4 linked regions of the Lepisosteus oculatus genome follow. The protein of the gene in region 2 purifies or fractionates together with the protein of the main gene of each other region. This does not show direct contact. Links are inferred from orthologs where the notes say so. Each region holds a gene or a part of one and is shown on either strand. Other genes may lie near its edges. The genes, in order: med8, cdk8, med31 and med4.

What was found.
Region 1: the proteins of cdk8 (region 2) and med8 purify together in Homo sapiens (affinity purification with mass spectrometry; 7 studies listed by BioGRID and IntAct, counting the BioPlex papers as one, with this or other methods). This does not show direct contact. The link is inferred for Lepisosteus oculatus from reciprocal best matches to the Homo sapiens genes CDK8 and MED8.
Region 3: the proteins of cdk8 (region 2) and med31 purify together in Homo sapiens (affinity purification with mass spectrometry; 7 studies listed by BioGRID and IntAct, with this or other methods). This does not show direct contact. The link is inferred for Lepisosteus oculatus from reciprocal best matches to the Homo sapiens genes CDK8 and MED31.
Region 4: the proteins of cdk8 (region 2) and med4 purify together in Homo sapiens (affinity purification with mass spectrometry; 9 studies listed by BioGRID and IntAct, counting the BioPlex papers as one, with this or other methods). This does not show direct contact. The link is inferred for Lepisosteus oculatus from reciprocal best matches to the Homo sapiens genes CDK8 and MED4.

Annotation. Positions count from the first base shown.
Region 1 is NC_090704.1:2,359,220-2,367,048, forward strand, and holds the start of med8 (mediator of RNA polymerase II transcription subunit 8), read right to left. Parts: upstream 3,005-7,829; 5' UTR 2,868-3,004; coding exon 2,862-2,867; intron 2,425-2,861; coding exon 2,303-2,424; intron 1,651-2,302; coding exon 1,506-1,650; intron 1,316-1,505; coding exon 1,175-1,315; intron 922-1,174; coding exon 834-921; intron 728-833; coding exon 479-727; intron 1-478. Other genes in the region: KICSTOR complex protein SZT2, read left to right, coding at 3,488-3,511, 4,829-4,954, 5,227-5,400, 6,507-6,677, 6,973-7,107, 7,732-7,829. UniProt on the Homo sapiens protein: Component of the Mediator complex, a coactivator involved in the regulated transcription of nearly all RNA polymerase II-dependent genes.
Region 2 is NC_090700.1:5,395,439-5,403,171, reverse strand, and holds the start of cdk8 (cyclin-dependent kinase 8), read right to left. Parts: upstream 3,001-7,733; 5' UTR 2,775-3,000; coding exon 2,647-2,774; intron 1-2,646. Other genes in the region: E3 ubiquitin-protein ligase RNF6, read left to right, coding at 3,088-3,258, 7,320-7,500.
Region 3 is NC_090721.1:9,979,392-9,986,452, forward strand, and holds the start of med31 (mediator of RNA polymerase II transcription subunit 31), read right to left. Parts: upstream 3,008-7,061; 5' UTR 2,807-3,007; coding exon 2,785-2,806; intron 2,550-2,784; coding exon 2,475-2,549; intron 1,381-2,474; coding exon 1,284-1,380; intron 242-1,283; coding exon 49-241; 3' UTR 1-48. UniProt on the Homo sapiens protein: Component of the Mediator complex, a coactivator involved in the regulated transcription of nearly all RNA polymerase II-dependent genes.
Region 4 is NC_090710.1:30,648,587-30,655,669, forward strand, and holds the start of med4 (mediator of RNA polymerase II transcription subunit 4), read left to right. Parts: upstream 1-4,065; 5' UTR 4,066-4,090; coding exon 4,091-4,161; intron 4,162-4,527; coding exon 4,528-4,594; intron 4,595-5,263; coding exon 5,264-5,434; intron 5,435-6,441; coding exon 6,442-6,499; intron 6,500-6,797; coding exon 6,798-6,884; intron 6,885-7,083. UniProt on the Homo sapiens protein: Component of the Mediator complex, a coactivator involved in the regulated transcription of nearly all RNA polymerase II-dependent genes.

The sequences.
Region 1 (7,829 bases), on a different chromosome or scaffold from region 2:
CATAAGCAGTCCCTCTGAAATTCACAATACCGCAGTTATAGCTAATCCACTTTTATCTGACAGACTAAAAGCAATACTAGTCAGATCAGTTACTGCCATTCACACCCTTAGCTCACGGGAATTTAAAAAAAACAGAAGCAAGCTACAGGGGAGAAGAGGCCTCTCAGCCCTCGTGACTTCTCATTCCGATTTTTATTTAAGGATCTATAACGGAGAGAAAATCTTTATAACAGGGAGACAGTCACGTTCCATGAAAGAAGCTGCTCCATACGCACAAAAGGGCTGCGGATGCACTTGGGACACTGCTGACTGCAGGAGATGGTTAAGCTCAGGTCAGTATCATTCAGGATGACTGTTCTCATCACGTCGTATTCGTCAAAACAACAAGAGGTGTCCCACTCTTCCTTTGTGCCATGCTGCGACCTGCGTGACTCCTGCCCATCGCACCTGTCCTGCAGGTGGCAGGTGAGGCTCTTACCTGGCTGGCCCTGCTGCTGCTGGGGAACGGGGCCGCCGATAGCCGCTTGTGGGTTGGAAGTGCCAGGCATGGTGACCTGCTGCAGGGTCGGCCCTCCCTGAAGCATGGCTCCGGTCCCAGGCTGCCCCGGGGGGACCAGGCCCCCGGACCCAGGGGGTCTGCATTTCGCCAGCCCCTTCCCGAACCCCACGGCCGCTACCAGGGCCGTTGTGTCCGTGGGGTTGAACGTCTGCTTGTTCTGCCGCAAAGCTGCCAAGAAACGACGCCGTGACTCACAAAGTGTTTTTATTTTTACAGGCTGCTCCATTCAAAGCCTCCTGCGGGTTCTGGAGCGGACAACAGTTTGGCGAGATACCTGCGCTCTCGGACTCGCGGTCCTCCCGAGGGTTGTTGAGCTTCTCCAGTAGGTTCGAGCACAGCTTGTTCAGCGTCTGTATCTGTTTCTGCACAAGATGGGAAAGCCAGGCTTCAAACGGAGGGCACGCGGAGATTGTCAGACGTTTGTTTTTTTTACTCTCATCAGAACAACACCTGTTCATGATTATTAGAGATAAAGAGCTGTCATCGCCCTGCATGCTCAATAAGACATCAAGGTTCTTGAACAGTCCGACGGTGGTAGAACACCCATAGGACACCTGGAGCTCACCGGCAGAGCCTGCCCTAGAGGGTGGGCACCTGAGGCATTCAGACACTCACCTGTGCCAACTCGGGGCCGATGCGGACTGCCTCAGCGTTCAGCTGCTTCTCCTGCTCCTCAACCTCCGGGTCTGGCTTGGTGCGCAGGTGGTCCGGAACAATCTCATGGCTGAACACGGGCACGCGCTGCTCCGTCAGTTTCTAGGGGCAACGGTAAAATTGACAGTGGGCTGGCTTTGAGCAGGCCATCGAGAAGAAATCAGGGTTTTAAATGACATGTTGGTGATCGTCTCCTTGCTTTGTGTGCTTCGCTGACAACAGCGGCACAAAGCGAGGCACGTTCTGAGAAGAGAAAAGCCATGGCAAAGGAGCGAACTGAACTGCGACTCACAGCCAGCTCTTCGTCCCGGTCTGGGGACAGAAGTAGAGGGATGATGACCTGGCTGCGCAGGACAGGTGTCTTCTCATTTTTCAACAGCTTATTGATGGTGTTAAGCTGGCCAGACAAGAGGGCAAAGTTATCCAGCACTGAAGGCCTAAAAAACAAAGAACAACATACAATATTAATTATGGTGCTTCTATCAAAGATCTGGGAGTAAAAAGCAAGGAATTAAAACTACAACCCAACAATAAAAATTAATATCAACTGTACTTAATTACCTAAAACTTGTCTAAAAATGACCAGCTCTGACAGTCACAATACTACTGTTCCTGTAGTGGGCCTGGCCCTGGGTCACATCTGCTCCTTCTCTCCTCATCCAACAATAATAAATACCTCATTAAAAATAGTTACTACTTACATGTCTATATTTTATTTAATTAGACCTAACTGCAATATCCTGAGGAAAGTGGTTATGGAAGACCTTAGAAATGTAAGTCTTGGAATCTGGCGAACCAAAAGTACAAACATTACCCAAAGAAGTATGCAACTACTATTCTCTGGTGTTGTCTACAAGTTTAAAATCAATTATCATTAACACAAAGTTAAAGACAAAGATTACAAAGCTCATCAGCCACACATTAGTCTGTCTGACATTGTGTTACAGTACCCTTCACAAGATTTCTCGGTCTTGCGAGAGTTATTCTAGACGATATTAAGCAAAAGATCTAGAATAATAATAAAAAAAATGTTTTCAAGTTTCCTTTCTCGGGAAAGTGGTAAAACACCTGCAAGCACCCAGCCCTCACCATGCCAGTCTTTCGTACTCGTTCTCCAGCTTGAAGATGAAGCTGTGCAGGGAGTTTTTCAGGTGGGCCACTCGAGTTATCAAGGCGTCGATAGACGCCTCCAACTGTTTCTCTTCCCGCTGCTGCACACGGATGGGGAGAAAACACCACCCGGTGAAACAAAGCTCGTAAGATTCCCCGAGTCATTTTTCGGATGGCTATATTATCGAAAGGGTGACTTTAGCTACACTTGAGCACAGACTTTGTTGGGAGGCTCTAGTCGAAAACGCTGAGAACTTAATATGAGCTCAGAACTACCTAAGGTAACGAAATACGAAGCTGCGGTCTGCGTTTTTGTTGTTTTTACGAGTTAATATTTTTTTCTTAACTTTAAGAATTCGTCTTGTTCAAGAACAGCGGTTACATACTAGAATGAACCTAGAACCGACTGGTTAGCATATCCCAATCTGACCATAAGACAGCATTTCGATTTCAAAATGCACACAGTTTGGTTACCCAACACGTTAATCTACTCCAATATGATTTAAAAAATAAATAAAACCAGCTGGCTAGTACTCACCTGCATCGTATTGTTTATCCAAAATAAAAACCGAAACTGAACAAACTGAGATCCGGAAGTTATCCTCCCGTGTCTATGGTCATTCAAAAGAGGCGAAGGGAATTCTGGGATATGTGGAGGACCTCGGAAAGACTTGCCACACACTTAGAATAGTCATGTGTCACCGGGGGTCAGTTTATTACTTTCAACGGCTCTTTATTTTAGCATCTATGAAAACGGTTGTTCTGTGACAGTTCGTTTTTAGGAATCTAACATTTTACCTGAAGCAAGAAAATTCAAAAGTTTGATCGTGACCAGAAGATACTAATAAATATTAAGCAGAGACGACAGGCGTTGCTAGCCAGTGGCGCATCTTTTGTCTGCCAGATATTCTGCTGGTAAATGCTCGTAATGCCCTCTTTTTTTAAAACAAACACCACAGAGTTCTGCAACAATTCGACAACAGATGAGCTGTTTTAAATATTTCCGGATGGGTTTGGTTTAATCCCGTTGCAGGGTCAGAGCGGAAAGCAGTTCCGGGTCGCGGTGCAGCCTGTGCCAAATAAACAGAAAATTGTAGCGAAATAAACAAGGAGTCTTCGCCGCCACAGCTCCACGCTGACACCCCTGGGGATGCGAGACCCGGGATGGCAGAGGAACAGGACACCGAGGCGAGTAGACACTGTCCCCACGTTATCGGGGTGTCCGCAGAAAGAAGATCAGACCAGTTCGCAATAGGATGACAAGTAAAATAAACGCATGAGGGAAGCTGGGCGTGTTACTATGGCTATAGAAGGACTGGCTAAGAGGCAATGTCTTAAATGACTCAAAGCTCCGTGCATTTTGTGGAAGATGCGTAATTTCTCCGTAACGGTTGTGTCAGGCTGGAGTGCTGGTGGTACTGCTATAACTAGCGACTAGCAAAGTCCAAATGGCTGTTCGAGTTTCTGTGCATCGATTGGCTTTTTGTGTTTCGTAGGAGCATGACTGATAACTGAACGTTTTTATTTTAGTCTAACGACACACGACTACCCCCGAGGTGTTCAGCTTGCAGCTTGCAGCTTGTAATTGTAGTTTTTTTCAGGTAATAATTGGGATTGCTGTAGCAGGTGTTTCACTCCTTCGCCGATTCACATTTCTTAAGTGTCCTTAGCCTCCTTGTCGTCGCGTATTTCCTTGTTACAGTGAATATCATAACCACTAGATACCGTAAAGCACGTCCGTGGTTTGCAAGCTGTCGGTAGTGCTTTCTGTCAGACGAGAAGGTTTTCAGAAGCAGCCACGCTAATGCACTGACGGGGGTAGTGTTGGCAAATGCACAGTATGTAGCAATGTGTATTCTCCCTAACCAGTGTGCGTAGTGTTGACGGGTTTAAATTGTAACAGGATGTCTCCCACGGATGAGACCACCATACTGTTGATGGAATTCATGCCAGCATGGCACCCAGTACTCTTTCTGCCACCTACCCACATGTAGCTGTGAATCAACAAAAAAACGACAATTTACTTCATCACTCCAGGCCATAAAAGCCGTGACGTTGCCCAGTCTTGCCCTTTATCAGAACCCTTCATCGCCAAGGCACCCATGTGTCATGGAGCTATATTCAGAACGGCTTCACCTTGCTGGCCAGCCTGCCTGCGAGCCCGTTTGAGATCCTGTTGTGGTCAGTGTGGTCCATAAAAAAGAAAATGCAGCCGGGGTCTTGATAGCAGCCGAGTCCCTCCTGGGAATGTTATTCTTTACGACTGCAGGCTGCGATCTTGTTCGTGGTTTCAAAATCGTGGCTGCAAGCATTTTCCCAGCCAGTGTTGACTTTCAGGGTGTGGCAGGTGCAGACGCCTCTCGCTCTTCTTTGGGGGTTTCGAGAGGAGGCGCTGCCAGGGCGCGCGGTGCAGACGCTGCCGGCCGGCCGCCCCCTGCGGCGCCCTGATGGGTGAAACGACCCGGGCCGGTGAGCGACGCTCTGAGCTCCCTGTTCCTTCGCCAGGTGGAGGAGGCCGGCCAGGTGTACTTGCTCATGAAGGAGGAGCACCGCATCTCCCGAAACGTGCGGCTTGCCTGGTTCCTGAGCCGACTCAACCAGGTGGTCCAGCCCGACCCGGGGGCCGAGCTGGTGAGTGGGCCCGCTCACGCCCCTGCCCGCATGTTTCGCTTTTAAACGTTGTATCCTCTCGAAGCCGACCGGTTCGGCTCTAGAGTTGTGCTGGTGATGTGTGCTTGCTGTGGCGTACCGGGGGCTGGACTCCTGTCGCCTCGGGAAGGAGCGGTCTGGAATTAAGGGGTGGACTGACGTGCTTGGACCTACGCTGCGTGCTTGCGGGGAACAAGTTCAGTCCTTGCTGTTGTGCCCAGTAACTGAAGTCCCGCTGGTTTTCTGTGCACCAGTTAAGCTCGGAGAATGAGCTGGATGTCCTGAGCATCCTACCAAAGGGCTGGCAGACTGGTGACCCTCCATCCACTGTGCCGTACCTACTGGTGCCGTCCACCCGGGTCACCTTCCTGGCCCGGCGGTACCGCTTCATCATCGAGCTGGACCTGAGCCCGTCCACGGGGATCGTGGTAAGAGTGTCCTCCGTCGCCTGTGCTCGGTCACCTTCCTGGAGAAATTCAGTTTCCTTACTCCTGGGCCGTTGGCTTTTACTCCCACCTAGTGGCAAAGCGCTTGCAGCTTGGGAATGCAGAAGAGCCCCTAAACAGACTTCTGTCTGTCTCTCATCCACAGCTGTTTCATCCTGTAGAGCTGGGATCCTCAGTCCTGGTTCTGGACACCCCCACACCTCCTGGTTTTCATTCCAACCCAGCTTAATTACTTAACTAATTAATCAGGCTAACCGGCTGCTTGGTTGGAACGTTTCTGTTTTTTTTTCCTCTCGAAAATTGGGAATTTATTTTACTCATGAAATGCAATAATTAAATGACACTCTTAAACATGTATAAGAGAAAATGGTAATACTGTCCTGAAGAAAAAAAATGAAGCTAGACTCTCCTAGATCCGGAAGTTAACCCACCGCATCTGCGGTAATCACTATAGTAAAATGAATTCTGGGAGATGTGGAGGACTTTGGGGGGGCGGGGGGGGGGGGGGAACTTGCAAATGTTTTAGAGCTGAACACAGTCCAACAGCTCAAATCAATCCTGTTAAGTCGATTAAGAGTGTAGTTGTCTCACTGGGATCTGTTCTGGAGCAAAATCCGGTAGGTTTGTGGGTCTTCAAGGGTAGGATGGTGAATCCCAAGAGGCTCATGTGAGCCAGCGCCTTACCCAGCACATACAGGTCACAGGGCGGAGCTGTATCCTGGCCTGGACACCAGTCACTGACTGATCAAATACAGAGAAGCTCATGGTGTAAGGACAGCTCCGGCAATTTGACTTGACTGGTTCTTTGTCTGGGCTTGTCTTTCTGCCACACGAAATCTGAACTTCTTGGAAATCATGTCGGGTTCTTTACTTTAGACATAGAAAAAATTGCTCAGTTTTTGACAGTAATACTTTGTATATTTAGTTGTTTTTCTTTGTTCTCTGATCGAACGCCTGGTGGCTTCATGCTCGTCAAGTTATTTGTCTTGTGGCCTTGGCCGTGTGCTGAGGGTCTTTCGCTTTTGGGATCTCGGTGGGCTCCAGGGAAGTTGGCCTGATTGATCGACGTGTTGCGTGTCGTTTGGCAGGACGACTGCACGGGCGAGATGATTTTCGACGAGGTGTTCCACGCTCTCACTAGGTGTCTGGCCGGACTCGCAAGACCCTTCAAAGTCCCGGGAACTGATTTGGTGTTCCAGCCAGAGATCTTCATCACCATCCTGGCCTACTCCTCCATCATCGGACTCAAGTCTCACCAGGTCATCTCTGACACCTTAGTCTCTTGTGAAGAGAAGTGTTTGATAACGGAGCTGTCTGTGGCGGGGAGCCTTGGTAATATACACTCAAACAGGCGTGACTGACAGGTGTAGACATTAGGAAAGAAGATGCAAGGTATTGATCAGGCATTCAGGAGGAAAACAGTGACGCAGCCAGCTGTTTTGACTTGATTCTTAAGTGTTTATAATAAAAGCCACATGGTGCCATTGTGCCGTGCCTGTTCAGATGCGTTTTCCAAGCCTTCTCGGCTAAGGATGCTCTTCCCCTTCTCCGTAGGTACTCGTTCAGGGCTGCCAGCTGGACCGGGCCGACTCGGACCAGTTCCTACAGCAGGTTTACCAGCAGCTGCGGGCTGTGGAGAATAACATTGCGGAGGTCCTCCAACAGCAGCACCAACAAGCGAGGGGGCAGGTGAGTGACTTCAATCCCGACCTTCCAAACCATCGGAACGTCAGAAAGGTTACAAACGGCGGGAGGCCATTCTGTCCATCCGTCCCATTCGGTTTCCACTAGTAAAGTGTTGTGAGGATCTCATCCAGCCATATCGTGGGAGAAGGCAAGGTATCACGCTCAGCAACATGGGTAGGTAGCTTGTTCCAGATTCCCCCAGCCAGAAAAATCCTGGGAGAATAATAGCTCATTTTATTTTCTTAACCCTGCATTGGATGAAGCAGTTAGAAGACTTCATGGATAATTTCATCATTTAAATCTCCACCACAGTGATGAAAGAAGTCAAACTGTAACGGTTTTCCTCAACCATAACCCTAGCTTGGCCTGAAGAGCACGCCCACGGAGGGCCCAGTTTGAGCATTTCTCAAATTTCTGAAAACTTGCCTAAAGCAGGAACATTACGAAATTAGGTGGTTCGACAGAACTAGTGTCACCTACTGATACACCAACACCACCTACACTAGCAACCTGGTTTTCCTTGGATATCTCCCTTCCCAGTACCACTGCTGCTAACGAAATCTTTGATTTTTTTTGTTAAAAGTCTCTTATGCTCTTTAATCTTGTTTTTTTTTTTTTTTTTTTTAGTCCGATGGGGTGGTTTTGTCCTCTGGGGTCTTGAATGACATGATGGAAGACCAGCCCCACAGGAAGCTGGGCGTTTCCATGGTGACTGCCGACGTGGG
Region 2 (7,733 bases):
CTGGGACAGGGATTCTCCCATGCAAAAGGCCTTTAATGGACATGGAGAAGGTGTGAGATATCTGGCTGCTGAGGCTAACCACAGCGAGCAGCTGACATGCTGCGCATTGCGCGAGAGTCTCCTCGTGTTCTTCCACTGAGCAGCCCGGGGTGGCTCCACAGAGCTGCTGAAAGCAGCTGCTCGTGCTGTGGCTGGACTTTTGCAGGACAGACCATCTCAGCCCTGCAGCTTCAGACGCGTCTGGACTCTGCGGAGGCACTGGAACTACGAATAAACCAACTAACAGCACCGGCATCATGAACACAACACCTCGGGCAGTCTGGGCCGCGTCTCACAGCACGTGGCTCACAGAGACAAAGACCTAAAAGCAGCATCTTTTTCTGGGAGGGTCACTTGTAAAAGAGCGTGTTGATCAATTGGATTGCGAGGCGTGTTTCTTTTATTAAAACTCCCGCTGCCGCAATCTGGTCAGCTCGCAAAAAAGAAAGTGACATCGCGCTCGTTTCTGCAGGCCTCTTTCAGAGACGGCAACAGCAACACTTTCTCAAGCAGGAAAACCCCCAGGAACTGAGAAGGACCCTTCTCGTTTAAGGGATCGCCGCAGTGCGGCGCGTTCTCGTTATAGTGTCTGCAGACCAGCAGGGTTTGGCACTGTGCTGTCAAGAGGAGGCTCAGATACATCATAAAATCTCAACAGCACACACCCAGCGAAAAGAGACAGGCTGTCCAACCGCTGGTCCAACAACCACTTTTGCACCACACACACACACACACACACACACACACACACACACACCCTTTCCTGCTTGGGGGGGTGTAACACAGCTCTTCTGCCACAAAGAGCTGATGCACACACAGAGACGTGCCATCAACCGAGTCAGCCAGGGCTTTTATCCAAAGGGGTTTAATCAGTAGACACACACGAAGCAGGGCATGTGACTGAAGCATCTCGTGGAAAGGTACAACAGCACTGTCCCACCCGAGATGTGAACCCGCATGAGAGTGGTGGACCCACAGCTTCCAGTGAGGAGTCCAGAGCCCTGCCCGCCGCTCCACACTGTAAGATTCCCCTGCGTTTTGGTGCTGGGAGTTCGGGGCGGACAACTGCAGGAGATGACCCATATTCGAGTGCCTTCTGTCCCGACAGTCAGAGCTGACACGCATCAACACCAGGCTGGATGTCACTGCTCATTAGCGGCGCGGCTTCACTCGAGAGGGGGATGAATGACCCCTTCCATCCGCCAACTTAAATGCAGTTTTTGTTTTGGTCCCTTCTTCTTAATTGAGGACAGGACATTAAACTCATCCCCCCTGCCTGTGGTCCCCCCCCATCTTGCCTGGCAGTGACCCTGACTTGTTGGGGAGGAGAGCCGTGTATTGTGCCCCCAAGAGATACTGGGACCAAGCCTGGCTTCTGTCTGTGGACAGGCAAGTCCAGAACCGCAGTTCAAACTCTTTTCTAAGGTGCCAAAACACAGGAGTGGTGGCTACCGCGTGCCCTCCATTGCTCACACACAGTGCGTGTGTCACGTGTGCACTCAGAGAAAGAAGGACGCTCACACCGATACAGCCAGTGGCAGAGAAGCACCTGTGCACTCTTGGGACTATTAATAAATTCCTGTTGAAAAGGACAGCAACCCGGGGTCAGCTTTCACGTCTCTCCAGGCAGCTGAAGGATGTCCTTCACCTTGAGCTCCAGGGGCAAGCGGAACTTCTTCTTCGTCTCATGTAACTGCTATATATATATTAAAAAAAAAAAACTGAACCGCCCCTCAAGATGTATGGAGCATCTCTTGCGAGTTGCTATTCGGGTTGATGCGAGCGATTTAAAGCAGTGACCGCAGACTTCGACGCGCAGAGCTGTCCGCAGGAAGACACAGCTCCGACAAACGCAGAACCCTCCGAGAAATGTCGGTTTGTTTGCAAGTGCCTCGTGTTCGCGTTTATTGCAAAAGGGGGGCGAATAAAAGTGAATAACACCATCGTCGTGGAGACTCGGAAGAGGAAAGAAAACCTGAAATTCACCCCCCCTCCCCCCCATAAACGAGAGGTTACTCTGATATGGGAACGTCGCTCTTCGGCAAATCGGTTTCCCGAATCCCACCATCCCAAGCTGAGGATTTACAACGTAAACACCTCCTCGACAATGTATTTTTTCAGGACGTTTTCTGCAAACGGGCTCGGTCTATTACGGGGGACGCCGCCACTGTAGTTCTAATCAGAAAACAGTGCAACAGCCAGGCGGTGCAAATTCGTAACACCAGTTAAGAAGAGCAACGATTTAGCAAAAACAGCAGCACACGGCACCTATCCAGTTATCTTTGGTTGGCACGGACTGGGGGGGGTTTGGTGTGACAGTCCGGGCAGCTTTGTCCCTCTCCAGTTAAAGAGACAAAAACAGCCACATCTCATGGAGCTGGTACTGTGTTACTGAGCATGTCTCTTTTCTATTCGGGTTGCGTTATCCAGCAGGACGACAACAACAACAACAACAACAACACCACCGTCTCTGGGATCTCAAACAATAGAGGCAACACCACCACCACCACCAACAACAGCAACACAACTAAAATGAACCAAAGAGCCGCGAAGAAAGTGTGCGCTTTATTTTCACCCGGGGCCAGCCCGGCAGGCCTGCCGACTCACCCATCTTTCCTCTTCGCCTTGTACACATGTCCGTAAGTGCCCCTTCCAACTTTGCAGCCCTCGTATTCAAACAGGTCCTCGACTCGCTCTCTCTCCCCAGTCAGCTTCACTTTGAAATCATAGTCCATTTTCCTCGCCTTTTTTTTCCCCCAAGCGCCGCCTGGGAAGCAGCCCCTCTCTTCGCACCTGGGCTCTACGTATCTATCGATCTTCCCCCCCCCCCCTAGCGCTGCCCCCTCGCCGGGCCGAGATGCGGCATGTACCGGCTGTGCGTGTGGCGGAGAGATGCACGATTTTCTGCAGCGTCTGGGCTCCTGCTGCACCGACACCGACACCGACACCGCTTCTGCTTGCTTCCCTCTCTCTCTCTCTCTCTCGCTTTCTGCAGCTGCGCCTCTCTGCCGGTATCTGCTCGCAGGAGCTGGGCATCAGCGCACGGCAATGTCGCAAAGCGTCGCCAAGCCAGGCTTTAAAATAAAGGACCGTCTGGAAAGGGAGACGTGCGCTTCTGTGCGGCGCACCACGTGGATTTTAACCCCCCGGCCCTTCCGCAGCGAAACCGTCGCTGTTGTCAAGAGGAGCTCCGCTGCGTGGACCAGCGGCAGAGGAAACGTGTGTTTTCCGACCTTCGTAAATCACGTTATCGCGCCGGGCGTTTAAAAAACACGCGCTAAGCCAACTCTTCGGGTTTCTTTTGTTTTTTGGGCTGTCTTTTTCCACAGTTGTGAAGTAACCAGACTGGGTTTAGACTGAACGTCACGAAACCTAAATTTTTATTTTTTGGGGGGGGTATATTTTAACGTCAGAGCAACAAAAACAAACAAAAAAAGGAGATTGGCCGTTTTGTAAACAGATATTGCAGTGTATATATATGTACAAAGATGAGCTCCGAAACTCTAGAGCTCCCTCTACTGGAATTTCGCTTGAGTGACCATGCTAGACGTGAAGAGCATCAGGTTTTGTTCCGGCAACGTTCAGTAAGAAAAAAAGGTCGAATCTCATGTTAATATCCAGTTATAGACGATTGCGAGGACAGTCGTTTACAGACATGAGACTTCTTTTTTTCCCCAGTTCTGCCAGTTGTCACCAGATGCTCTGCCAGATGTCTTTTCCCCCAGCTCTCGCGGGGCGTGTGTGGCACTGGTGTGTGAGACATTTAAGGGTGTCGTCGGGGTCCTGGAGTATTGGAGACGCGCCCAAGTCACGATAGTGGTTGCCCTGCGTGTCTTGCGTGAAAGTCGTGCAAGGAGCGAAGAACTTCGCTGTATAATAAAGTTTAAAGATCCCATGTTGCTCTTCTGAAGAGTAAGGTCTTTAAATCGGTAATCGAGGCTAAATTCCTGGATTTAACCTTAACTTCCCCCTTCAGTTCAACTGAAGAAGCGGTTTCTCAGTCCTCCTCCGCCTCGCCGATCTGCTGTGCAGTGGGGTTCCTGGTCCAGAATGGCCACATGCTCGGTCACACAAGCTGCCCTTCAGTGGTGACTAAGGGGAGACCCCTCCTGTCTGTAAAGCAATTTTGGATGGAGGGGGGTATATAAATTAAGGACTCTTTGTTGGACCTCCATTATTATACTACACTTAAACATCAATGGCCGTGGTACACATACAAGAGGCATCTGTACTTTCAAGTATGCAAACATCAATACATTCCAGGCCTAGAATGGAGCAGGGCAAACTAACCTTAAAACACAAGGTACAAAATGGAAAACACAAATGATGCACTGACATGATTTGCCACTTGTGGCTGTTTCTCCAGGAAAAGACGCTGGGTCACAAGGACATTTCCCACAGAAGTTTGATACAGGCTTTTAACTGGGTGGGGGGAAAAAAAACGCACCATCTGCAGGAACTGGTTAGCATCGCAGCGCAGGGGTCCAGGGTTCAATCCCTGGGGTGCTGTCTGCATGGAGTGTGTATGTTCTCCCACGGTCCAAAGACACGCTGGTGGGCTAGTTGGCTTCTGGGAAGATCGGCCCTGGAGTGTCGGTGTGCTCTGTGACGGACTGCGGTCCCATGCAGTGTGTATCCCACCTTGACCCCAGCTCACTTGTGACCCTGTACTGTTAAAAGGGGTTAGAAAATGGATGGATGGATGTTATACGAATAGAAAGGAACAGGTAATGCGCGTATTCCATGCTGAAAAGAGAAGAAAGAAAACACAACGTTTCGGCCGTGGGGCCTTCTTCAGGTGTCTTTTGTATGACTTGCAGATTCCGCCATGGTATTTACCAGTAAATGCTGTGCGAATCGGAAAACGGTGCAGTATCGTGTTCCAATAGGGAATACGCTACATAGATAGATACTTTATTGATCCCGTGAGGGAAATTGCAGTGCAACAGCAGCTTATAATAATAATAATAATAATAAAAATAAACTTTATTTTATATAGCGCCTTTAAAGGTGGCTTCTCAAAGCGCTTTACAGGATGACAATAACAATAAATAAGAAGACTACAACAATAAATAAAGCTTAACACAGACAACACAGCCACAGTGTAACAAATAATATAATAATAGTACAATACATACAATACAATACAAGAGTTACTCACAGTCTGGACACACAAAGAACAGACTAGAACAGAAGGGGGGGGAGGGGGCGACACTGGTATTCAAGAGTATGGAGATAAATCGAAAGGTTTACTTTTAAATCCATGACACGATTTTAATTGAGGCGTTAAAGGAACATATGTACAAAACGTGAGTCTAAAAAAGAAAGCCTAGTGTACTGTACATGTCTCCTGGAGGGGGGGGTGCAATGTATCTCGTCGCTTGTTGCAGGTAGGACTGTATTGGGTGCTGCACTGGTGTTCCCATCTTACACTGTATCCCGGACAGCAGGGGAAGGGAAGAGGACCCGTCCATATTTCAGCTGAGGGTTTCAGGTACTGAAGTGTGCCCGAGCTGTCTTGTCACGGCAGCGGTTCTCCTTGTACGTGTGCCGTCTTCCCTGGACGGAGCGTCTGCTCTCTTTGCGGTGCCATTTTGTGTATCGCGAGCACTGAAACGGTCTACACGGCGGTGGTGAGGCAACGCAATCTCACTGTATAGGTTACGCGTTTGTTTGCATGGACACGCACGTCCGCAAGACAGAACAGCACCGGCGGCGGGGCTGGGGTTTTTTTCAAAGGGAATCCGAGGCGTATTTTGCGGGGATTTCGGGAGACCGACGCTGTCTTTTGTGTCTTCTTCGCGATGAAATATCCGGGGCCCGACTCTCATTTTTTTTTTGTTTTCTGTTTGTCCCGCCTCCCCGCTCAGCTGTTTGGGCGTTTCGTCTGTCAATATACGGGTCTGGGCCCACTGATTGGTAGGGAGCCCTGTAAGGCTTGTAGTATTTGTATCTAGGGTTAGTGTATTTTTTACGAAGGCCCATCTTCGCTCTGTATAAACCATTTTATGCACTGATTTTACATTTCACTTCATGATACTGTGTTTGGCTTCTATTTTTGTTTAACCTTAAATTTTAGAGTGGGCGCCTAATCGCGCGTTGCTACGGAGAGCACGTATCTTCCGTGTACTCTTAAAAAAATGAGAAAGCAGCTTTCTGCACCAGGTTGTTTTTAATTGAAAATTTTTTTAGACTGTTCCTTCCATTTGCTGGCTCTGCTGGGGAGATAAAAAAACATATTTTCGTCGCAGAGCCTTTTAGACAAATGCAGAGATCATGCCTAACAGATGTTTATTTCTGTGTACCAACAGCTCCGCAGTGAAACTTTGTTGGAGTTTAAGATGGTATATGTGATAAGGAATTATATTCTGGTCTCAGTGGTTGATACGGTCATTTTTCATTGGGATAGACGTTTCTGGATAGTGACTGAGACATGAACAGCCCCGTGTGAATGGACTGTGTTTTTGTTATCCTAACAGATACACTCCCAGTTTATGCTACTGGAGACAGCACTTTTTCTTGGTTATTTCAAGGTTGTTTCCTCGTAGTGCATAAACGGGCATAAGGATTCAGATGAAGCAAACGTCATTTTAAAGGTGTAAGTTGTAATGAATCATAAAAGCAACACAAGTACAGTCAGTAATATTTCCAGTGGATCCAAACATAGCGAGAGTCTGACAGCTTACAGCTTATAGCCCTCACAGCAGCTGTACTGAAAACTGAAATCTGCACAATACTCTGCATATTGTTTTGCTAGGAGTTTTTGTCCAATTTGAGCAGCCAGCCCCACCTGCTTTCTGCCCACAGAGTGCACCAAGGGCTTGAGCTGTGTCATGTTGCAGTCCTGGAGGTACAGGACTCCCGGTTTCGATTCTTCAGGCCCACAGGGTATTCAGAGCCTGTACGCTGCTGACTGCTGACACTGCTGTCATGTTTCATGTCGCCAGACTATTGCTTTCTGACAGATGCCAGGCAATTTGAGGTTTTCCTCATGCGGTGCTTTGTGGATTTATTTCCCCCCATTACTGCTTTTGTCAAAATGTTGTGCGGCAGTGATAACGGTTTTCTCATTATATACGTGCAGCGGGAGACTGTGGACAGGCCGTCTGCGGGCCGGATATGATGTTCTCGGGTTCCAGGTTTCGAATGAATTTGAACGAATGGATGCAAAGTTAAAAGTTAATAGTGCAGAGGAAAGCCCCGAAACCCTGCTGTTTGTTTCGCTCGCCAGCCTCACGGAGTGTGTTCTCCCGGTAAACTCCCCCCCCCTCCTCCTTCAGGCAGCCGGAGCGGTTTCCGTGGCGATGGACCCTCCCAGCCCTGCGGCGCCCGGCGGGCGGGACGAGCGGCGGCGGCAGGAGGAGAGGCTGCGCCGCGAGGAGGCGTACTACCAGTTCATCGACGGGCTGAGCGAGGACGAGTACCGCCTCATGAGGGACAGCAACCTCCTGGGCACGCCAGGTACGCGGGTCCCCCTGCCTGGCCCGGTGACACTGCCCCCTGCTGGGCGGGGGTTTGAGGCTGCGCTTGCTGGGAGATCAGATGAGGTCGCTTCACTGGCCCGATACAGTTTCTTGCATTAGGAGTTCGTCTTTTCGCAGACCCCAGCTTGCTCTCCTTGAGACACACAGACAGGGAGAGAGAAGCTCAGGATTGGAGCGCAGGGTCGGCCGTTTATATGGCGCAGCCCTGGA
Region 3 (7,061 bases), on a different chromosome or scaffold from region 2:
ACGCCCGGAGTCTCCTCAGTTCAAGGGCCCCCCCCCCGCCCGCGGGCCTCACTTGGCCGCGGCGTGGCCGTGCTGCTGCTGCTCCGCCAGGGCCTGCTGCAGCCGCGTGCGCTTGCGGGAGTAGTGCTGCCAGTGCAGGAGCTGCTGCTCGTCGATGAACTTGGCGCACTGAGCGTTCACCAGCTCCTTGCGGAAGTGCTCGTACTGCAGCAGCTCCAGCATGTGCAGGCTCTGGGGGTACCTGGGCAGGGAGCGGGAGACAGGGGCACGGTCACACACAGGGGCACTAAGGCAGCTTTTAACGAGCGTTCAGGAGGAGGGACAGCCCTCAGATCCCCCTTCATCTCTGCTGCCCTAACTTGTATTCCTTGTGTCCCGAAAACCCCAGCAAGCCCATTACTTCCCTGCTTCTCTTTTAGCATCCCTCCTCCACCCCATCTCCACCTCTGCAGCTGCCCTTCGGTTCGTTTCCCCCCTGACTTCCATCACCCACAGGCAGGGGGCTGGGCCTCGGCCCGCCAGACTGCGCCTCTCTTTGTGCCTGACTTTTTCACATCCCCATGCAGAATGTATTTTCGGTTTGAATGTCATTATTCCTTAAGAATTAAACATGTTCACAAGACAGTGGTTTAACAATCAGATCACAATATTTTAAAGCCATAACTTACAGACTTAGAATCTAGCCATACTTTTGCTTTCACAAGCCCATACTTAATAATGATCTCCTCAAAATGAAAACACAATGAACTCTAACCGAAGACTACAGGAAGGGCCTGGGGTTTATACCTGTGGGTAACACCAGAACTCTGAAGGAAGGATCTACAATATCCCACTGCTCTTCCCACAGTATTGCACTGGAATTTCTCATGTCTTCCAGGCTGTTAGAATACTTTAAAGTGTTAACTCTGCCTTACTAAGGGGCAGATTCTGAGCCAGATCTGTAACTACACTGAGGATAATCTGATCAACCGATCTGAGAGGGAGGGGCACAGACTGACAAGTACAGAATACAGACAGCCTGGTCATGCAGAGACTGCGGTCCCAGCATGCGTAGGCTGCCAAGGAACAAGTAATAGGTTTATTCCATGCTGAATTGAGAAGAAAGAAAACACAACGTTTCGGCTGTGGAGCCTTCTTCGGGTGTCAGCCAAGAAGGCTCCACAGCCGAAACGTTGTGTTTTCTTTCTTCCCTTTTCAGCATGGAATAAACCTATTACTTGTTCCTTTGTAATAGAGTTGAGAGACCAAACAGCCTCTGAACACAGCCAGACACAGACACTCACTTCAGGTACTTGGCGTATTCCGGGTCCTTCCAGTACAGCAGGTACTTCAGGTAGTTCACAAAGGGCTTCTCTCGCAGGTAGCCTCTCTGAGCCAGGACTGGGACCACAAGACAGAGCCGTCAGATCACACTGCCTTCTCGCGCGGTTCCTATTTTCTTTTACTGTCAATGACTCAAATGCACTAAAGGAAAAGTTATCTATAAAACCCCTCTTGGGCTAGAGACAAGCGTTAATGTTGAGAGGTGAATCAGACCCGCTGTGCAGCCGAGAGCTCGGGTGGAACAGAACCCAGACCTCCATCTCGGAACCCAGGTCCGTGGTCATATTTTAATTAATAACGTACCGCAAGTTTAAATTGAGCACTAATTAAAAACAGTTACTCCATTGCAGCAAATGAGAGACAGGCAGAAGAGCAGAAGCTGCCGTGGTTTATTTTTCAGACCCCCAGGGCTCAGTCCAGGTTTAAGATGATATTTAAGCCAAATAACCCTGAAGCTCCCAGCTGTCACCCCACTGGAGCTCAGCAGGTGTGAGCCTGGCCAGTACCTGGATGGGAGACCTCCTGGGAAAAACTAAGGTTGCTGCTGGACGAGGTGTTCGTGGGGCCAGCAGGGGGCGCTCACCCTGCGGTCTGTGTGAGTCCTAATGCCCCAGTATAGCGACAGGGACACTATACTGTAAACAGGCGCCGTCCTTCGGATGAGACGTAAAACCAAGGTCCTGACTCCCTGTGGTCATTAAAAATCCCAGAAATCCCTTTTCTTTAAAAATTTAAAATCTTTTCTTTAAAATTTCTGCAATTTCCCAGAAATTCCCAGCCTCACACTTGCTTAGCTTCAGTGGGCTGCCAGTTGTGAGTTGCAGGGTGATATGGCTGCTGACAGATAGAGTACAATAAAGTATCTATCTAAAATGTGTAGGGGTGTCCTGGTCAAATTTCAGCCTGGTCTTTACTAGTCATGGCCTCCAAATAACCCCCATCTCTGAACTGGCTTCATCACTCTGCTCTCCTCCCCACTGAGAGCTGGTGTGTGGGGAGAGGACTGGTGCACCATCCAGGTGGGGCTGCACGCTGGTGGTGGTGGAGGGGATCCCCATTGCCTGTAATTGGTTTGAGTGGAGTGTCCAGAAAAGTGCTATATAAGCGTAAGGAATTATTATTATTATTAAGAGGGTGAAAGAGCGACTCACAGTTCAGGTAGTTGGGGTTAGCGAGACACTGCACGAACTCCAGCTCCGACTGGAATCGGTTTCTCGCCTGCTCCTCTGTCGGCGAAGAAGAGACAGCATTACAAACACGCCAAGGGACAGGAACCACGGATTCAATACTGAAGCACTCCCCATCCACCTCAACGCGCTGACGTACGCCCTTTTAGTATATCAGACATAAATTGCATACAAATAAAGACGAGATGTGCACTCCACTTTCACAACAACAGATAAATCAATACCCCCGACCGCACTACTTTCAGCTGGCGCAAGTAAACAGACCCGTACGAACCTGTCTCCATCGCCGTCGCCATAGCAGTCAGCGGACTCTCGTGTTCAATGAGAAAGCGCTACTCCTCAGAGATACAAACCCAGCCTTTAGCAGTGTAACCTGTAAAACAAATCTTTGTAGTCGAGAGGGAATAGTTTTAATACTCAAATGAACTACTTCGTTTAGCGTAACACAGCACATCCGCCATCTTGGCCGGAACTCGTGTATGACGTCTAACAACGCGACGCCCTCCCGGCAGTGTGTTTTTCCTACCCCAGTTCCTGTAGCAACACGCCCCATTCCTTTCCCCTCAGTTGCATAGACAATCTTGGGTGTGATTTCGTAGGACCCGTCTCCCAATTAGCAGAACTTGGGAAGCAGCGTGGCTTTGGAGTTCCTTTAACACTGAGTGGTTTGTTTTGCTGGAGAGTGGGTGTGTCCAGCACAACCTCTATATCTGAACCTGGGTGGGAGAATTCAGTTCCATCAGACTCCGAGATCACTGCACTCTCTTGCTGTGCTTTAAGATACAAATAAAATGAATCTTTAAGATGTAGAAATCAACAGGCACATCCAGCTGTTCGGTGTTCTTTTGTTACAATTTATTTGATATTTGAAATTAAAAATAAATTGTAACATTCGTAAGCAATAGTCTGCGCCGGCAATGCACAAGAGTATTAAAGAGGAGACCGTTCGTCCTATCTACTGTTAGTTGTAAATCGATCTAAGGATCTCATCTCATCCAGGTGTTTCTCGAAAAAACAAAACCGTATCGTCTTCAACTCCGTGGTTGTGTAGCTTGTTCCCGACTCCAACACCTTTTTGTGCAAAGGAGGGCCTCCTGCTCTCGGGTTTAGAATGCACTTCTAAGCTGTACAGTACAAGATGCACTCTGCACACGCAGTGCACGTTCATGCAGACTGAAGAATCCAGCTTTATAACACAAATTGCACAAATCACAATCATTTATAGGTTAATCACTAAAAAGCCACCTAAAACTGAGCACGTTATCCATTAATACTTGATTTTGCCTTTGTTGGGATTTTTGTACATAAGAAAATCACCATTTGATGTCGTACAGTTGTTATGTTACCCAGTTGCAGCTCTACGTGTGTGATAGCTCAGTATAGTGAGTGGAGTTCGGCAGTTTTTTATTTATTCATGCATAAACAATAAGAAAAATTACAATAAAAGCAAGCGTACATATAACAATTCAAGACAAAAACATCGTCAGGGGTAGTTCGTCCGCACTCACAACAGGTGGCGTGGATCAGTTCCGTTCAGTTTATTTGGTCATCTGCACGAGTGCAATGTTTGCATGTATGCTCCAATGCAGAGACATTAAGGAAACGCCGAAAGATACACATAACAGTAGAAGCACCAGCCACAAGGTTAAATAACACACAAGGTAAATACTAGTCAGTACACGCAGTGTGAAAACACACACCAGTGTGAGTCAGTGGTAGGGGCAGAGTTTAGTAATCTCATAGTTTACGGGAAGAAACTGTCTCTGGGTCTGGAAGTTAGTGCATTCATGCTTTATAACCCTTACCAGAGGAAAGTGGGGGAGTATCCTTAACGATACTTCCAGTCTTCCTGAGAGTTGGTCTCTTTTATTTCCAAACTTTTATTGATCATAAAATAATACAAAGAGACAACTGAACAAAACAAAACACACACACAAAAAAACACTGCGATCCGTAGGTAATTACAAAACTGAACACAATAAATTAAAACTTTACATAATCGAATCGGCGTTTTTTGCCTTGTTATTTGTAAGGTTGCTAATGGATTTTAAGTAATGTTGCAGTTCAATCTTAGAATCATTAAAGTAGGGAACAGAACTGGACTATTGTGTTTTGCGTATCTACCCAGTATAACTAACAGATTATTTATAAGAAAATGTTCCTTTTTCCAGAGTACATCTGGCAAATCATGCCATAATACCAAACTCCTTAAATTAAACATTCACGGTGAAATTCTTAAAGATGAAGTTTTGCAAGTATATCCAAAACACCTTTGTATATATGCGGATGACAAATAAATGTGTCAGAATGTCTTTTCCAGCCTTTTCCAACCGAACACACGTCATAAATTATCTTGATCATGTATGACCTTAGAAAGTGTTACAAGATAAAGCCTATGAACAAGATTAAATGTAATTTTTTAAACCTTGTTTGTAAGGCAATATGCGTCAGGAGTTGTCCAGTCTAATTTCCGGTTTATATTTTCATTCCAGAAGGATGTTCGGGAGGATTGAGGAAGTTTGGCACAGATTCCTTATCAGGACACCAGCCTCGCTCTCCGTCACCTGTCCATCCTCGGGCTGTATCCAATCACAGACGACCGTCTGACTAAACCCCACCCATTTCTCCTCCCTCACGCCAATACGGAGCGACGCTGCAGGAATTCGGGTAGAGAACAAGAAACGCGCCCTGGAGTTGTGCCGTAATGACAAGCCTGTCATGGCTGCGCCCGTGTGACGCAAGTTTCCCTTACGGCAAGAGATTGATCTGAATCACAACAGATTTCGCCTCCTGCGAAAATTCTGACCGTCTTCAGCGGTAGTAACAGCGGACCCTGTTTTTGTCAATAATCTCAAACATGTGACTACCAAATCAGTAGAAAACCAACATAAAAGCAAAAAACAATATCTATGTAATATGTTTTACATTTCTTTGCAAGTTTCGATGTGATTTCTGATGCTTTATTTAAGAAGAGGATGGTGTTTTTTGTATATGGGAAACTTGATTTTAACTGCAATTAAATTCTGAACAAGAGAAAATGACCGTTCAAACCAACCTGTCGGGTCGTCTGGGTACTAGACTCCGGCTTGTCTGCGTCGCCTTTTCATTCCAAGCGATATTATCATTGTTCAAAAGTACTTTAGACAAAATTAGATGGGTAGAATAGGCCACCCCCGCCAGTAATCTTTTTTTCTGGGCTAAAGAAACCGCAATTAGGGGAAGTTTGAACTCAACCCTAATTTGAACGTGTTTATCCGTGCTGTCCGCCAGGGGGAGCACTGCACTCGCGCGAAGGCTGGATTGAGTGGGGCGAGAATTAGGAAGTCTTCCAGGATATAAAACTATCCCACAGACCGTCTACTGCAATACGTCATAGCCTTCTATCATTGTTTAATATGAGGAGTCAGCCCTTTAATGTGAAGTTATCTAATCCGTGTCTCCCCCAGGTGATCCAGCCAGCTTCTTAAATGGTATATAGATCCTGTCGATTTTCAATTATGTAATTAAAGAGCTTTACTGCAGTAAAATTGTTTGTCGGGGCGGATTGGAGGTGCTGTGTGACTAATGATGCGCTGTGCTGGGGGGCCTTGTAGTTCAGCCCCGAAGCCAATGGGTTCGCCGCGGAGAAGGTGCCGTAGGTGCCACTGTCCACACGCCACTCGGGTGATTGCATGACAACATGTCTGCTGTGCGCGGGCTAGTGAAGACGACGCACGAGGAGTATGCAGCACGGTTGTTTAATTGGGTGCAAAAACCACACGCTAATTACACCCTCGCCTTTGTTTTGCTTCAAAAGGAATTTCCGATATATTCCCTCTCTCTCTCCCCTCCCCTATTTCCCCTCCCTGTGGCTCCAGTATTGTGAACTGTATCGCTGGGGGGTGACTGTAAATGTAAAAAATGGGAGATCCCACCTGCTCTGTCTGGTCGGGGATCTGCTGACGGCTCGAGAACAGACGGGGTTCATTCTCGTGGGGATCCCTGTGCCTGGGAAGGGTTCGGTGTCTCTGGGAAAGACGCGGCCCGGAACGGTCTCTCCGCGTTTCCACCTCTGTAATTTTCCCCGCAAAGTGCTGAAATCAACAGGAGGTGTGTGTGTGGGTCTGACGTGCAGGAGAGAAAGTGCTGCTGTAGGAGCGAACAGGCTGATACCTGCCGCCACCTCCCCCGCCGCAGCCCTCCGGACTGGGGGGCTGGAGATGGGACAGAGGGACAGCTGTGTGATTGAGCACCCAAGAACTCTAAAACCGGATGGGAACAAGATGTGACGGGAGAATGCTTGTATTATTCATATTTGCATTTTTTTCGTACCGTTATTCATTTCTTTCGCTGATGCCTTTATCCAAAGCATCTTACACGTGGACCCATGTATTCAGTTGGCTGCATCCGCAGGGAGAGAGCCACTGAGCGCTCTGTCCTGGGCCCGTTCCGCCTGTGCAAGGACAGACCCCCCGCCTCTTCCTCAGAGTCTCTCCTGTCAGCTCTGCCCGGGGTTGTTTTTCTCATACAAAGTTCTTTTGTCATTTATTTGCAACTGCTCTTGGGGTGGTG
Region 4 (7,083 bases), on a different chromosome or scaffold from region 2:
ACAAAACAAAAAATAGAAGTAAAATAAAATCTACAGACATGTTACAGACATTTACAACAAAGACATATTATATAATATCGACATATACTGTAGGCGGCTGGAGCATTATTGGGAGACGGACTCACTGTTCCTCAGGCTGTGACAGGAGATCACATACTGGGCTGCCAGATCAACTGAGTTCCCTCCTCCCTCTCCCAGTAGGATTGGGACCTGTTGTGGTTTTGGCAGGTGTGGGAACTCTGGGATTAGATTTCTGAATTTCGGGAAGAATGTTTCTCTAATCCCAGAGTATCTGTCACAGTGCAGTAGGAAGTGCACCTCTGTCTCTATTTCTCCCTGCTGGCAGTGGGAGCACAGCCTGTCCTCTCTGGGCAGCCAGGTCTGCCTGTGTCGCCCAGTTTCTATGGCCAGGTTGTGGTCACTGAGCCTGTACTTCGTCAGGGTCTGTTTCTGTTTGTTATTTTTTATTTTGGTCAAATATTCAGCTAGTGTGTATTGTCTGTTTAAGGTTCTGTAGCATTCCAGTTTATGTTGTGTTTGTGTGTGTGTGTCCCAGTGTGTGAGATATTGCTGTTTGATCTGTGCTGTGATGTGGTTGAGTCTGGGTTGTGGTGCTCTAGCAGTGCTGTCCTGAGGCTGGTTAGTGTTGGTGTGGCTCAGGTCGGTGAGCCTCAGGACCAGCTGGCTCAGGGGGCTCTGTTTTGGGCTCAGCTCTTGGCTCAGCAGGGCTTTGTGGTGGTAGGAATTTTGGTCACTGTTTTTTAGGTGTAGCCAATACTTTAATATTCTTTTCTGTATGTTTATCAATAGTGGGTACTGGCCTAATTCGGCCCTGCACCCGTTGTTAGGAGTTTTTCTCTGCACACGGAGGATGATTCTAGAGAGAGAGTTATCTCTCTCTCTCTCAATTCAATTCAATTTCAATTCAAGGTGCTTTATTAGCATGACCAATAGGTACAATCAGTGTTGCCAAAGCAAATAAAAATAATACAATAATAAAATCTCTCTCTCTCTGCGGGAATGAAGATAACCTCCAGGATCACGAAGCCGTTCTGGAGTCGGATGATCTGTGAATCGATTCAGCCTTTCCAGCAGCGACGATACGAGTTAGCAACCATAACGACAGAAACTAAAACCCACCCCCTTCTCTAATCAAAAGTGTTATCAATTTTAAAAAAAAATCACCATCATGAAGTCCGGGGGAATAAAAACTCGAGTTTTGAATCAAGTGCATTTATGAAGACGTGAAAACTGCTTGGAATTAAGTTAGACTTTGTACTATCAACGTTATTTTTTTCCCCAATGCAATTCCCTTGGCTACTTAAATACAAAACAGTTACTACTCTGTGAAAACTTTACCTTGCCTTGGATAAAGACGTTAGTAAACTAAAAATATGTATGTGTTTCGTCCTATATATGGGAAGACCTTTGTTTTTAGTAATTCAACATACGTTTCAGAACAGCTTTTAATCACCTCTCAAAGGTTTACAAATTAACAGCAACCCCGATTAATGAAGAACTGGTTTAGTTCTAGAGCGAAACAGTAAAAAAATCAATTGGAAGAAACACCGTAGATACGTCTGGTTTTCAAGGAGACAATTCAGATCGAGTCTTGCTCTCCCTGAAGTTAGGAATGGCGTTCTTCCTTGACTCGGGTCTGCCCTGTACTCCACGTCTTGCATCTTGTACACCAGTGACAACCAATTTCTTCCAAGAATGATTTATCTTTTATCACTGCGTCTGATTGATCTAATTTGAATGAGAGCTTTCTAAAAAGGTAAATATTTATAATCCATACTTACAAGAATGGCATATCACCCTACAACTCACAACTGGCAGCCTACTGAAGCTCAGCAGGTGTGAGCCTGGCCAGTACCTGGATGGGAGACTCCTGGGAGAAATTAAGGTTGCTGCTGGAAGAGGTGTTAGTGGGGCCAGCAGGGGGCGCTCACTCTGCGGTCCATGTGGGTCCTAATGCCCCAGTATAGTGACTGGGACACTATACAGTAAACAGGCGCCATCCTTCGGATGAGATGTAAAACCAAGGTCCTGACTTCCTGTGGTCATTAAAAATCCCAGGGTGTTTCTTGAAAAGAGTAGGGGTGTAACCCCGGCGTCCTGGCCAAATTTCCCATTGGCCCTTCCCAATCATAGCCTCCTAATAATCCCCCTCTCTGAACTGGCTTCATTACTCTGCTCTCCTCCCCACTGAGAGCTGATGTGTGGTGAGCGTTCTGGCGCACTATGGCTGCCGTCGCATCATCCAGGTGGGGATGCACATTGGCGGCGGTGGTGGAGGGGAGTCCCCATTACCTGTAAAGCACTTTGAGTGGAGTGTCCAGAAAAAGCACTATATAAGTGTAAGCAATTATTATTATTATTACAAGCATACAGACAGGACAAAGGTGAGAGATTAAATAGCACTGGCATTCGTCAACTATGGCTCTGAGATTTTCCTTCTGGTGTATTCTGCACTCATGTGTAATTGTGAAACTAGTGGAGTACCACAGGGATCTGCACTAGGATAATTACTCTTCCTATCCTATATGTATCTCAATGACCTACATTGTGGTGTAGCTAGTAAAACGGTTTGTAGTAAGGTTTGTTAGATGATATCAAATTAGGAAGATGAGCAAATCCTGTACAAGCACCTAAAAAAGAAAGAGATAAAATACAAGACCAGACAAACACCTGGCAGATGATGTTTAATGTTGGCAAGCGCAGAGTTTCTTCTGGCAAAATACCTAAGCTAAGAATACAAAATGGGAAACACAGAGAAAGAAGACACGGCATATTAAAAAGACTTACGAGTTTACGCTGACACCTCATTTATATCTTCTGTGATAAAGTAATTAAACATGTAAGCAAAATGTTAGAATAAATATTTATGATATTAAAATTAAAACAAGATGTGTTGTGTTGAATTTGCATGATGCACTAGTAAGCCTTAAATGGAATATTGTGTATAATTCTGCTCAGCACATTATATTAAGGTTGTGCTGCTCTGGCATCACTGCAGCCAGGAGCAGTCAGATACATCCCAGGGCTTCAGGGACTGTCATGCACTGACAGCCTGTTTAATCATGAACAGAGGAGACTACAATGGGACTTAATGCAAGTGTCCAGCATCCCCACAGACATCTTCAATATCTGATAAATCCAAATCCAATCCATCTAATGAATTGGTTTTCAACAAATTACTGTGGCAGAAAGAGAGCTCCTCACTGATGAGCTGTTTTCTTTGAAGCTTGGTCTTATAGTCAATGATCCAATGAAACCCCCCCAAAATTCTTGTGAGATTGGTGTGTGCAAGCAGTAGTCTACATCTGTTGTTGTGAATAAAGGGCCTGTTTTGTGCTCTTAAATGCCAAATTCTCTGATTCTCTGATTCTTTTTATTTCATTAAGAAAGATTCTGAATCTGGATTGCTCATTGGCTAGAGGGAGCTCTGTCCTAAAAGACATATTCAGAAGTGTTTCTGTGCCGGTCACTCATCTCCCTTGCTTGGTTATTTCCAAATGCCCAAGTAGTGCTCACTATACTTCAGCTATTGCCAATCCCTATGTATTGAGCCATAGTTTATATTTCTTATTATAAAAAAGCCTTGTCAGGAACAGGTTAATCACATTGAACACAGTGAAACGAGTCCTAGTTACGTGTGGTTTGTGGGGGACGTTGCAATCTATTGTAAATTAACCCCCTCCTGCACTAGTATTCTTGTATATTAATATGTATTTCATTATTGCCTCTAGAGACACGTATTTACTGTATGTGTACAAATAAGGTAAATGCGGGTAATACATACAGAGGATTTCCAGCCATAAACAAACCCTAGACCCAGCTTTTAAAAAACAAACAAACAAACAAACAAACAAACAAACAAACAAACAACAACACATAAAAAATGAAAAACAATCAGGTTTATCGTATTTAACCCCGGACGATGATCGACCCCTTGTTGTTCCCTGGTTATAAAGACATCTCTCCACTAGGTGTCACCACTGATTTTTAGTGACGACTTTTCTGTCTTGTCCGGTCTCTCTAGATTTGTTGTCTGTGTGAACATGCGCACTATGAAAGTTACTCTATCATGGCGGCTTCCGATAGATCAACTAAAGATCGGTTATTGTCTGTTTTAGACGATTTGGAGGTGTTATCCAGGTACGCTCGCTGAGAAATACAGTATTTACGCCAGAAAGACTTTACCCTGTGGACAGTAAAGTGGAACAGAAAAGGTCTGAAAGGATTTCGGGGACTCGGATGTTGGCCTGTGTAGGCTATCACAGAGCAACTGATTTTACCTGAGCTTCAATGCAGTTTGACAAACTAGACACTTTGCGTGTTAAAGGTTATGAAATGTTATATTTATTTGTCACGTTTTGTGGAAAAAAAACAACAAGAAGAAATTCTTATAAAAAGTGATATTTACATTTACTGTATAGTATCTGTATTTCTTTGTTAAGTTGCCTCGGTTATGTGCAATAGTTGTTACGATCTGCTTATGTTAACTGTATATATGAACTGCAGGGAACTGATTGAGATGCTGGCGTTGTCGAGGAATCAGAAACTGCCCCAGCCTGGAGAAGAGACTCAGGTATAACTACGTTTTCGTCTCGAGTAAACTCCTTTGGAAGGTGATCTTATTTTGTTTCAACAGCACATCATTCACTTTCAAACGAATTGTTGTAATAAAACAAAAAGCGTGCCTGCGTAAACAGCTTACATTTTAGGAGGAACAAATACTCGGATCCCTACCAATCACAGAGCCTGTCTCAGTGGAGCCGGGCTAACTTATTAAAAAACACATTTACACTACATTGAATATCTGTCAAATTATTCCAGTGGGTGGTTACACGCATATTCATAGGTTTATTCCATGCTGAAAAGAGAAGAGAGAAAACACATCTGTATGCTTGTTTAACGATGCTGACTGGTCCCTGCCGAGACCTTACAGACAGAGGTGCAGTTGTACCAAAATGGATGCATCCAGTACTTGTTTTCCATTATTTTAATTTTAGCCTAGGCTTTCTTCGAGCGAGGAGGACCTTAGGGAGCTGGTCCCTGACATACAAAAAGGTTTAGGAACAGGGATTTAAAATATACATGCTCCATGTGTGGACATAGACCCTCTTGGGGGGCCCACCTTGTTTCTGGGTAACGAGACGACTTTAGTCAAGCCGCTTCTGAGAAAGAACTGTTCGTCTCCCAGTGGAAATCCCGGCTCGGCAGTGGAGCGTGTTTAAGAGGGCGTGCTCTTGTGCAGATCCTGGAACTGCTGGTGCAGAGGGACACTGAGTTCCAGGAGCTGATGAGAGTGGCTCAGGAGCAAGGTCAGGTCCACCTGGAGATGCAGCTCCTGGAGAAAGAGGTGGAGAAGAGAGACAGCGATATCCAGCAGCTGCAGAAACAGCTGAAAGAAGCCGAGCACATACTGGTAAGCAGGGTGACTAAAACAGAGACATTTGTATTGCTATCGGACCCCTCTGCTAGGAATTTTGGCTTTGAACTGGTTTTCTTGCAATATGTATCTAGTCAACTGCTTCTTCATAGTCAAAAACAGTTTATTTAGATTACAGATATTTCTAATAGTAGCGCTGGGGCTGCATTTTTCTTTCCTCACTAATCTTGACAACAGTGCACTTGGTGAAATGTTGAGGTTTTGTTGTGAAGAAAAGTGAGAATGTAAAAACAAAGGAACAGGTAATGGGTTTTAATCCCTGCTGAAAAGAAAAGAAAAAAGAAAGGAAACAACGTTTTGGCTGTGGAGCCTTCTTCAGGTGTGAGAAAGACAGGGCAGACAGCAAAGATTAAATGGCACAGGAGAACAAAAGCTCGGAGAGGGGAGGAGGAGGCAGAGAGGCCACTCAGGAAGTGCAAAGCGGAGAGGGGTGAAGAGCTGCCTGAGAATAGAGAAGATTACACAAGAATAAGTCAGTCATTGAGAGAAGGGGAAGGTGTGAACCTAGTTTCAGGATGAGTTTCGTTTCTGTAGTCTTTCTGCTGTGGGAGTTGAGAAACCCTTCTTTGAGAAAAGAGACCGAGAGATCAGTGTGATCATGGCCGTCTGAGGCGAAATAATAAAAAAAACTATGGGCTTGGAGAAATCTTTCATCTTCACAGCCCTAACATGTTATCTGAAGCGGTCTCCTAGTCTCCTTCCGGTTTCCCCAACGTAGATAGCTGGGCCTTTTTTGCAGGAGATACAGTATAGGATGTTATCTGGGTGATCTGGAATTGACCTGAGGTGCCCTGAATGAGCGTGTTGTAGAAACAATGCCATTTTGGATAAAGTTTCCAAAAACTTCTGCAGGGAGTTTCTAGTATATAATAACACGGACTATGTAGTTGTAGTCAACTAGGTGTAGTCAAAGTATTCAAGTTTTTCCAGTCATGTGTTTAAAATAATATAGTAAGATTTATTCATTTATTCTTTCTTTTTAGGCAACTGCTGTATACCAAGCAAAGGAGAAACTGAAGTCCATAGAAAAAGCAAGAAAAGGTCAAGATTATTTTTATTTCAAAATATTGATAGGTCTTTCAGTAAGTTTCATTAATAATTTCTCAAGTTAATCAAGCATAGAAAAAATCATGAGCATGATGCACGTAAAAGAGCTGCTTTTCAAAAATGTTTCTTTTTTTTTTTTGCTGAAGATACTTTACATGGTCCTGTAGGTAAAGCACTGGTAGGAACAACCGTTCTGGGTCAGAATTTCCAAACCGATCCCTTCAAGTAGCCAGTGTGCGGATGGTACATACTGACGTAGAATGTGCTTTAATGGTGAATGTCTTTGTTTCAGGAAGCATCTCCTCCGAAGAAATTATTAAATATGCTCACAGGATCAGTGCCAGCAATGCAGTATGTGCTCCCCTCAACTGGGTGCCAGGTAAGGCTGGGTACTCTGGAGAACTTGGGTTTGGGGCTTCCCTTCCGACTGGAGCTGGGGACAGAGTCCCAGCAGTGCAGATTTTTAATTGCTTGACAGTCTGGCAAGTTAATTAATAATTAAAATTGGTTCAAAGTCCCATACAAATCTTAAATTTATGAAATCTCCAGTTTTGAAGAGGGCTGTTTTTACAGTAAAC